Linked DNA regions of Caenorhabditis elegans. The protein of the gene in region 2 purifies or fractionates together with the protein of the main gene of each other region. This does not show direct contact. Each region holds a gene or a part of one and is shown on either strand. Other genes may lie near its edges.

Region 1 (5,641 bases), 4.2 Mb from region 2:
TTGAAATTCTGATATTCTAGGGGGTACTGTAGCTCCGAAAGTACGCAAACACCGAAATATTGCCAAATTTTCGGTTTTTTCAGTACAAAAATCGAAATTTTTCAGAAAACCAATACAAATATTCCATTTTTCGCATATTTTTAAAGTTCAGAACTCGAAAATTCGAATTTTCAAATTTCCCGGGGGTTACTGTAGCCCCAAAAGTACTACGCAAAATACGATAAAGTTGAATTTTTGCAGTTCAAAACCTGAAAATATTGGAAATTTTTGTTTTTTCGTTTCTAAAATCGATATTTTCCGAAATTATCGATTTTTGAACCGAAAAATCGATAATTTTTGGATTATTTCTCAGTGTTTGCGTACTTTTCCAGCAGCTACAGTAACCCGGGAAATTAAAAAATATGAACTTCTAGGGGGGACTGTACCTTGAAAAGTACGCAAAACCCTGGAAATTCCAAAAATTTTCGTGTTTTTTTCTGTTCAAAAATCGATAATTGCCAAAAATTATCGATTTTTAGTCGAAAAAAAAATCGATTTTCCTGAAAATTAGGGGGGGTACTGTACCTCGAAAAGTACGCAAACACCGAAAAAATCGAAAATTATCGACTTTCCGGTAATAAAATCGATTTTTTCCGAAATTATCGATTTCTTTGCACCAGAAAAATCGATTTTTCACTTAAAAATTACTTTATTCACACATTAAAAATCGGGAAAAAACCCCTAAAAAATTTTTTCCAATAAAAAAAAATCTACTGCTTTCAGTTTTTCTGGTACTTTTTTTGATTTCGGCTGCTGTCTCAGCGTAGTCTCCGGACTACTGGAATCCACCATTTTTCGGCTTATATCCCAATTTTTGAGCAACTCCTGCGTAAACTGGCGATTCGTCGAATGCAACCATTCTCGTAGCGTTTAGATCACGTGGAGCTTTGGATACCTGAAAAAATTGGGATTTTTGGCTGAAAATTGAGGTTTTTAGGGTAAAAATCATAAAAATTCATGATTTTTCAGCCAAAATTAGTGAAAATTGAATTTTTTATAAATTTTATGATAATTCCCGTTAAATTCGCAATTTTTGAGCTAAAAATTTGGATTTTTGGCTGAAAATTGGCGTTTTAAAACAAAAATCATAAAAATTCATGATTTTTTAGCCAAAATTAGTGAAAATTGAATTTTTTATAATTTTATGATAATTCCCGTTAAATTCGCAATTTTTGAGCTAAAATTCTGGATTTTGGTTGAAAAATGACGTTTTTACGTTAAAAATCTGAAAATTTCGTGGTTTTTGAGATAAAATTAGTAAGAAATCGACATTTTTAAGCTGAAAAATCAATTTTTCATGAATTTTATGATATTTTCCGTTAAATTGACAATTTTTGAGCAAAAAAGTGGCTTTTTGGCTGAAAAATGACATTTTTAAGTGAAAAATCTGGAAATTTCATGATTTTTGGGACAAAGTAAGTGAAAATCGATAATTTTGAGCCAAAAACTCAGTTTTTCATGAATTTAATGATTTTCTTGGTAAAATTCACAATTTTTTCAGCTAAAAATTGGCTTTTGGCTGGAAATTGGCATTTTATGCCGTTTTTAGGTCGAAAATGTGGAAATTTCATGATTTTTGAGCAAATGTGAGTGAAAAATCGATTTTTTAAGCCAAAAATTTAGTTTTTCATGAATTTATTGGACTCTTCCGTTAAATTCCATAATTTTTGAGCTAAAAATTGGATTTTGACTGAAATTTTGTGGCAAATCACGATTTTTTTTTTTGAAAAATTGCCATTTTTAGGTCAAAAATCCTGAAATTTCATGATTTTAGTGGCGAATTTTGTGGAAAATTGAATTTTCTTGAAGTTTCATGGGTTTTTTGGCGGAAAATTGATTTTCTGACGAATTTATTTAAAAATTGGATTTTTTTGGTCAAAACAAGCAGAATTTGCATAATTTTGAGCCAAATTTCATTAAAATGGGATTTTTCCAGTTTTTATCTCAAATTTTGCGAGAAATTCGATTTTTAGGTGAAAATCTTCGAAATTTTCCCCATTTTCCCCGTACATCAGCGTGTTTTCCATCGCAAATTGGTCGAGTTCCAGTCTGTTTGCAGTCACACATTGGATAAATTCCAGTTTTTTCAACTTGAAAACTGACGGGGCGAACGTTGGTTAATCCGGGCGTTTTGTGGGTTCCGTCGCAGAATGGCTGCAAAAAATTTTTGGATTTTTCAGGAATTTTCCGGTTTTTTAAGGCATTTTTCAGTGTTAAAATCGTCGTCGAATTTCACACGCCTAGCACCCTTTTTCTGGGTCTCTAGATTTAAATTTGAATTTCGAGGGGTACGGTAGTCCCAAAAGTACGCAAACACCGAGTGCCTTGCGTACTTGGCACCGAACTTTACGACAATTAGTCTAAATTGACTGAAAATCGGGTTAGGGGGGGAAAATGTGATGGAGAACTCGAATTTTGTACTGAAAATGTGTGAAAATGTGTGAAAATCATTGAAAATTTGGGCATAGCTTCCGCATGTCCGAGTGACAAATGTGCTCTATTGCCAAATTGTTGGCAGAAATACGGTATTTATTCACATTTTCAGCCAATTTAAGACTGAAAATGTGAATAAACACAGTATTTATGCCAGAAATCTGAGAAACGCACAAGTCACAGGGGAATTATCGATTTTTAGAAGATTTTTCGTTTTCAGATTGGTGGCCTAGAAATCCCAAAAGTTAGGCCGCCAATCTATTTTGAGCGAAAAAACCAATTTCTAGGGGTAAAAATGAGTGAAAAACTTAATTTTTAACTGAAAATTTGGGCAAAATCACTAGAAATGTGATTAAAAATATTTAAACGCGAAAAATGACCGGAATTCTAATTTTAGGGCAAAATTCGTTAATTATAGCTGCAATAACCAAATTTTTGAGCAGAAAATCGCAAAAAATCTTTATTTCCAGCGTTTTTCGTAACAAAAATAGACCGTCTGAGCTTTTTCCGGGAAAATTAGGGTAATTTTCGAAAAATGTTGGATTTTTCTAGAATATTGATTAAAATTTGAGCAAAAATGAGCTTTTTTTGTAATTTTTTCACTAGCATTCACGTTTAACAAAATTTTGGGTTTCATCACGACTTTAAAGGCACATAGGCGCCATTTTAAGCCTAAAATAGCTAAATTTTATCAATTTTCCGCGATTTTTTCGGCATTTTAGCTGTTTTTCGACGATTTCCATGAGAAAATGCTCGAAAATAAGCACCTGAGTGATGCTCAACCCGCATGAGCACCAATGATACGTTTTTCCGGCTTCAAGCTTCACACGATTCGACTTTGTGCCTGCTGGCTGCCCTTTGTACGGCAAAACGTCTGCAGAATAGCTTTGAACAACGACGCCACGTGCTTTTCCACGAATCGATGATTGCTGGAAATTTTGAAATTTTTTTCAGTGATTTTTCGCGGAAATTGGTGAAAATCTGGCAAAAATCGGGATTTTTTCGCAGAAAAAAAAATTTCAGCGATTTTGATTGATTTTCCACGACTTTTCCAGCTTTTTCAGTCGAAATTGACAATTTTCCACTAATAACTCACAATCGGCGCGGCTGCCTGAAGCTTTTGGCACGTTCTTCCGAGCATGGCTCAATTCGACCTGAAAATCGAGGTTTTTGAGGTGAAAAATAGGTTTTTAATGGATTTTCGCATACAAATTCATGATTTTTCAATATTTTAAGCGAAAAAATCGTGAAAAACCACGGATTTTCAGAGGAAAATCACTAAAAATGGCTGAAAACAAATTTGCCCGTGGAGCGAGCAAGCGCGCTCCAGTGAGAAACAGTTGGGATTTCTAGGCCGCGGCCACGGGAATTTATATAATTTTTTTCATTTTCCGGCGTTTTTACATGATTTTCCTCGAATTTCTCGCATTTTTCGATATTCCAGGCAATGAAACTCAATTCCAACGTGAAAATCGTCGCAAAAAAGTGCATTTTAGTGCCGTACGAGCCGTGCCACGTTGCAAAATACCACAAATGGATGGAAAACGAGGAGATTCGCCGACTCACCGGCTCTGAACAATTGTCGTTGGATGAGGAATATGAAATGCAGAAAACTTGGCGAAATGATGAGGATAAACTAACGTTTATCGTTCTTGAAATGAATGAAAGTGGAGAAGAAGTAGGGATTTTTCAGGAAAACCCCGTTTTTTTCAAGTTTTTGCCTCCAAAAATTTGAAATTCACGGGCTCAGAACCGTTTTGAATTAAAAATAGACCAAAAAATTGGGAAAATAGCATTATAACCACTCGAAAATCGACTTTTCCGCCAAAAACTACGACACTCCTAGTACGCCACAGCGCGTGTTGTTTAGCGCTGGTCACCCGCGAATTCAAATTTTTGACTTAAAATTGGGGTTTTTTACACTTTTTTGCCGATTTCAATGTGAAAAATCACTAAAAATTCTGTTTTTATCAAAAATTTTTGCATTTTCGAAAAGAAAAGTGTGTTTTTTTCCGATTTTTTTTTTGGAAATTTTCCGAAATTTCAGGTAGATCACATGCTTGGCGATGTGAATTTGTTCATTTCCACGTCACCGTCCACTGAAAACCCTAGCGATGACGTCATCACTGGTGAGGTAGAGGTTATGATAGCGGAGCCACGTGGCAGAGGAAAAGGCATTGGAGAGGAGGCTGTGAGGGTTATTATTGCGTGGGCGTATGAGGTAAAATACTTTTTTTCTTCTAAAAAAAAGTTTTTGTTGGATGTAAAAGTTGAAAAAAAAATTTTGAAAAAAAATTCTGAAACAATTTTTTTTTTCAGAATTTTTTTTGTCAAATTTCTCCTAACTAATTTCTTTTATAAAAATTCGAGTTCTCCTCACTCCCAGCTTCAAAATGACCCCCCATCACGCACTGGTTCCGCGTAGTTTGAAAATTTTAGGTCTCGCCACGCGGGTTACTGTAGCACCGATATCAGCTGTGTCGGTGGGAAAAATGCGCGGAACATAGGCTTGTAGGGGTCAATTTAAAGCTGGTGACGTGGAGAATATGAATTTTAACATGATTTTTGACAGTTTTGAAAATTAAAAAAATTTTAGTTCGAAAAAAAATTGAATTTTTTTTTGTTTTTCAGAAAAATTTTATTCTTCAAAATTTCTCGATTTTGAGCTGAAATTCGAGTTCTCCACACTTTCAGCGTCAAAATGACCCCCATCATGTCCTGGTTCCGCGCAATTTGAAAATTTTGGGTCTCGCCACGCGGGTTACTGTAGCACCGATATCAGCTGTGTCGGTTGTCAAATTGAACGGAATATGGTCGTGTTGGGGGTCATTTTGAAGCTGAAAATGAGGAGAATAAGAATTTTGACATGGTTTTTGACAGTTTTGAAAAATGAGCAAAAAAAATATTTTTTTCGAAAATTTTCAATTTTTCAGAATCTGAAAATCGAGCAATTCTGCGTAAAAATTACCGATGACAACACACCAAGCCTGAGCCTATTCAAGAAGAAACTAGGATTCAAACAAATCGGCTATAGCACTGCTTTCAAGGAATTCACATTTGAATTGCCGAAAAATCGATTGATTTCTGAATTTTCGAGTTTTTTGGAGAAAAATGCAGAAATTAAGGAGTATAAATAATTATTTGTGTACTTTTACATTGAAAATAAATG
Region 2 (5,093 bases):
TTGATGTGGTATAATGATTTTGAGTCATTTTTTGGAAATTGAATGTCATTGACACAAAATGGACATAAAAATGATAGGGAAAAGGTTGTTTGTTTAAGGAATTACCTTAATGCTTCATTCAAAATTTAGGTATCATCTTCAGTTATGATGACACTTTTTATGATGATTAAGATAAAGCAGGGATGAGCTTTGATTGCATAAATCTTATCTGTAACTAATTTTTAAAGATTTTTCAGGTTCTGCCACAAATCTATTTATGTAAACAAATTATTAGGAACTTTCCAAAAGAATAATTTTGTAATTAGCAGTTTTTGAGTAGACTTTGATTGTTCTGTTCATCAAATAATTATTCTAGATTTTTATATTTTTATAACTTAAGTTTTTAGAATGTTTTCAGAAGTTTGAAAATGTTAGATGTTTGAATCCTTGAGAATTATTTTTAAAAATCTTTAATTTGTTACACTGAAATTTTTTTTTTTGAAGTTTTTCCAAATCAATATCATTTTATCTCAGATTTTCTTTCCGAATTAGATTTTATTCAGTTAACAAAAACAAAATAAGAACTTGGTCTTAAAACGACATAACTTACAGATACAAAATAAATATTTAAAAAATTATGCAAATGAAAATTACTCGTGAGGTGAGATATTGACTGCAGGTTTCATTATTCAGGCAGGGTATACTATAGATAGGAATCTGTTTCCACACAAAACTGAGAAGATGGAGGTAACAGTAATCATTCAATTTGAGATTGATCTTTAATGATTTTATCATTTCTTGATAATGAAGAAGATGAAGCACAAAAGACTTTTGATCTCAGAAATTTCATCTGAAATTAATTTTTAAAATTAGATTCTTCAGTTTTGCCACAAAATCTCTGACTACTGTGTTTTTGATGATTATGTTCTCAATAACTAGCTGTTGTAGATTTCTATCGTTTTCCACAAAAAAAAATAGAAAACATACTTACCTGAGAACTGAAAACTTTCGAAATGCGTTTGTCAAAGGAAAAGTTTATAATTGGGTCCAGTAGAAATGTTATTGATCTGAAATTGATTTTTCAATTTTAAGAAAATACAAGTCACTAGTGATCCAGATGGGCCATTTATTTTAAAAGGACATGGTGCAGAGAAAAAAATGTTATCGAACCCTAAAAATGTCTCCAATGATGATACGATAGCTGGGAAAATTAAACTATTTGCATTGTAGAAATCGTAACAGTCATCTGATATTGATTCAGCTGAAAAAAAAACAATAAATGGGAGCAACATCTACCGTAATTGGCAGTGAAATTTGAAACTACCGTATTTCTTTTATTAGTTTTGCAATGGAATATTTTACTTTGGCTCTTTTCTTTCAATCTTTTATAAAAATGTTATTTTGTTCGTCTCCAATCTTTTCACGTCACTTACATTTTCCAAACGCTGCAAGTAACCCAGTTGGTATTAACTCAACGCAACATAAAATGACCAAAATAGTAGTTGTCCATGTTAGTCGGCTTTTTCCATGATTGAATGCAGAAGATGACACGTTTCCCATTTTCTTGGATTTATAACTGTGCCAGTGGAGAGATACTGTGACAAAGAGCAATGTGCCGGTGCATCCCATAAGGATGAGACATGCTATGCAAACTGAAATAAAATAATGAAAAAGACGTGCCTACTACATTTATGCCTATCGCATATTTCTCGGCTAGAAATGGGTAGCTTTCCATATTTCTCCCACAAGGTAGGCAGGCAGCCCCCCACTAAAACTTACACAACAACCATTTAACGATAAGTTCACAACTTTCACTATCACATTTTATAGGGCCGTCTATTTCGTCGGCTGCTTGAAATAAGCCAAATGGAATCTAAAATTTTTATACCAAAAATATAGTCATTAAACTTTTTCTTACCGCAACACAAACCGAAAATAAAACTATCGCGAATGCAATGATGTATATCGTTTTAAGAGTAAACTTGTCACGATAAACCAGTGGACGCATCACTCCGAAATATGTCATCATGGCGACACCGGTGAAGGAACCTGGAATCAACTGAAACTTGCGGTACAACTAGGCTTCCATGGAGGCACGAGGCAGGCGAAGGTTGATTTGAAGGCGTCTTGGAATTCTTAAGCTCCGGCTTACCTAACAAACTCAAAATACTAAAGTCGTAGATAATAAATAATACTGCAAAAAATGCAAATGTATCCCGAAATGGAATATCGATAAAGTAAGTTGACTGAATTATTATTATACATAGAGCAATGAGAATTGCAGCTGACAATCTTACAACTACAAATATGTATTGTTTGCGGGATCTGAAGTTTATTTGGAATTAATTTTGAAATTAGACAAAAATAGCGAGAGAAGATATATCGTTTGTTTCAGATGATTTCAAAATTTACAAACTGATAAGTTACGTAAAACATTTTCATCTGCATACTGTTAGCTAATAATTTATTATTAGGCCAATTGAAGCCAACAAAGTTTGAATATTTTAAACTCACTGCTTTTTGAGACTTTTCAGTATTGAAATTGTAACTAAAAGACAATAAGTATCAACAAGTACAGCCAAAAAACACATGGCAGAAGGTATATAAAATCCCATCCAAATCATAAGTGAGTGAGCAGTATTCATTTTCTGGAATTATTATTATCAAATAGTCTAATTCTAAAGTGCACCAGTTTTGACGCGCAGATTTTTCAATTTAGAATTTTTTAGAAAGTTTTAATTGTATTCCTCTTGGACAACCTAACAAACCTGCAGCAATTGACATGGATTCGATGCATTGACACATTTTTGTAGGTTCTTTTCAAATGAATAGTGGGTAGAGCAATTTTCAAAAATATTTGTCATTTGAAACAAAAATCGATATAATGCTATAAACCATTTTCCAAGTGTTAACTGATAAGAATTGATGATTCAATTCTATGAGGCGATAAGAGATCAAAATTTTGTCGGAGGGGGGTTTCTGCACAATTTCGAGCGGAGGTAAGTAATCTGTGAGACGTCACAATTTGTAGAGCACATTTGAAAGAGATAAACTCACTTGTAACTTGACCATTTTTGAAATATTTTTGTCGAAAAAAATATTAATTAAAGGATCCGTCAAGAAGACAAGGGATCTGCAAAAATTCAGAAGTTTGTTTTAAATTTGTATAAAATTTGTACCCTACGAGGGTTTCCACAGATGATATTATTGACTGAACAAGTAGTTCGTTGGCATTGTAAAAACTATCACATCCTTGGAGACTACCTAAAATTGAACTTTCATGCGAAAAGCATGTACACATTTTTTTCTCCCAATTCCGACGCTATTTCTAGGCAACCTCTAACGTACTTACTTTTATCATTGCCAATAACTAATCCAAAGGGAAGCAACTCAATGAGACAAATGACAATCAAAGCGAAAAATGTCCAAGTGAGACGAATACGGGCACGTGTAGTCACTTTAGGGACATCGACACCGTTCTAAATACATATTTCAGCAGCCGACGCTTTACGGGGTTTTAAAGAAAACCCGCGAACTGTCCGCTGCTTCCTCACCGTTTTTGATTTATAGTTATACCAGTGCAACGAGATCACAGCGAATCCTGTTAGAGATGCAGTTATTGCAAGTGAGATACATGCTATAGAAACTGAAATTAAATTTTTTGCTAGGCTGTAGCGTGTGTAAGGTGAACGGTTTTCCAATCGTGGAAGAGTTTTGAAAATTTCCAGGTCACGCAAAAGACTGGGGGTTACTGTGACACAAGAAGTGCAATGCAACAAAGATGCAAATTTACTTACAAGTAATCCATTCCACCACCTTCCCACAATAACTTAAATCACACTTTATAGGCCCTTGAGAGTTACTCGCAGCTTCGTAGAGGCCTAGAGGGATCTGCAAGGTTTCAATTTTTGTTCCATGAAATTCCTTTTTGTCAGCTTGCCGCTATTGCTAAAGAAAATGTCCACATTGAAATGAGTATAATGTAGAGAGATCTTAATGACACATGGCGTCGATAGAAATTGTAGTGAACTACACCAAAATAGGTGATCAGGGAGATCATTATGTAGGAGACTGAAACATTTTAAACCTCGAGGCTGCAAACACGCTATATTGGTAAGTTTGTTTTTACGAAAAATTGAAAATGGAGTGTTTTTCAATAGGCTAAAAATTTTTAAACTATAAAAATTTATGACTCGGCCGTGGGCTAACTTTTCCCCATATGATTTCTCTTTCATCAATCAAGAACTTACAGAACAAGGTGTCCATACTGAAATCGTAAATTGAAAATGCAACAGCATAATATGCAAATGTCGGAGACAAACTCTCCGAGAATAGTGTGCTTTCTAGCACCAAAAGGGATATTATGACAAGTATTGAGGAGAGAAATCTGCTGAGTACAAATACATAATGCTTTCGGGTTCTGGAAATCTTAGATTTCGTTTTTTTCCTAAAATCTACATTTTCATGAAAATTCGCATTGTCTGGCTCGCCTTAAAGACAGGCTGGCAGGCGTTCATGCCTACGTAGCAGACTTACTCACTCGTTATCAAGAAAATAATATGTGTAGAGTGCAATAAACAAGCAATAAAAATTTAAAATCCCCGAAATCACAAAAATAGTTGTAGAAATATAGACATCAAGCCAATGAAATACATCGATTGATGATGCTACGTTCTGGAAATTATAGAATTGTAAAAGCGCAAAGTTTGAAATTTTAACAGAGCGTGCTTACTTACCCTTATAAGACCGCACTGATTTGTAGTATTTGTGCAATTTTCATATATGTACTCGAATGAATATCTATGGGTACAATTTTCGAATAAGTTGCCCATAAATCTTCAATCGATAAAACTGGACAAAACCTTTTTTGCTGGAGTTTTTAATCATCACTGATAACAGACACTCGTCGTCTTCGTGACATTCTTGATTGCATCATTGAGTACTACAATATTTTGTAAGTTTTAAATTAGTTTCTAGGGAAATATTACGTGTCGGGTTACTGTGTCCGTAAATAATGGGTCAAATATAAGAGTGAAGATAGGATCGAAAAACAAACCGATTGTCCTGAAAATTAAGCTTAAAACTGGAAAACAATGACACTCCGCTGGAAAGCT

What was found.
Region 1: the proteins of B0244.10 (region 2) and cisd-3.2 fractionate together in Caenorhabditis elegans (co-fractionation; one large-scale study listed by BioGRID). This does not show direct contact.

Annotation. Positions count from the first base shown.
Region 1 is NC_003281.10:1,538,478-1,544,118, reverse strand, and holds cisd-3.2 (Iron-binding zinc finger CDGSH type domain-containing protein), read right to left. Parts: upstream 3,627-5,641; 5' UTR 3,614-3,626; coding exon 3,569-3,613; intron 3,402-3,568; coding exon 3,240-3,401; intron 2,194-3,239; coding exon 2,050-2,193; intron 935-2,049; coding exon 815-934; 3' UTR 671-814; downstream 1-670. Other genes in the region: Y67D2.5 (N-acetyltransferase 9-like protein), read left to right, coding at 3,920-4,150, 4,520-4,693, 5,406-5,609.
Region 2 is NC_003281.10:5,732,943-5,738,035, reverse strand, and holds B0244.10 (Putative G-protein coupled receptor B0244.10), read right to left. Parts: upstream 2,872-5,093; 5' UTR 2,844-2,871; coding exon 2,748-2,843; intron 2,628-2,747; coding exon 2,494-2,627; intron 2,305-2,493; coding exon 2,132-2,304; intron 2,029-2,131; coding exon 1,898-2,028; intron 1,853-1,897; coding exon 1,759-1,852; intron 1,632-1,758; coding exon 1,413-1,631; intron 1,241-1,412; coding exon 1,150-1,240; intron 1,047-1,149; coding exon 971-1,046; intron 830-970; coding exon 737-829; 3' UTR 515-736; downstream 1-514. Other genes in the region: Putative G-protein coupled receptor-like protein B0244.6, read right to left, coding at 1-28; B0244.17 (G-protein coupled receptors family 1 profile domain-containing protein), read right to left, coding at 2,934-2,987, 3,037-3,112, 3,159-3,243, 3,332-3,458, 3,534-3,625, 3,777-3,870, 3,920-4,050, 4,230-4,399 and 2 more; Putative G-protein coupled receptor B0244.7, read right to left, coding at 4,859-4,921, 4,968-5,043.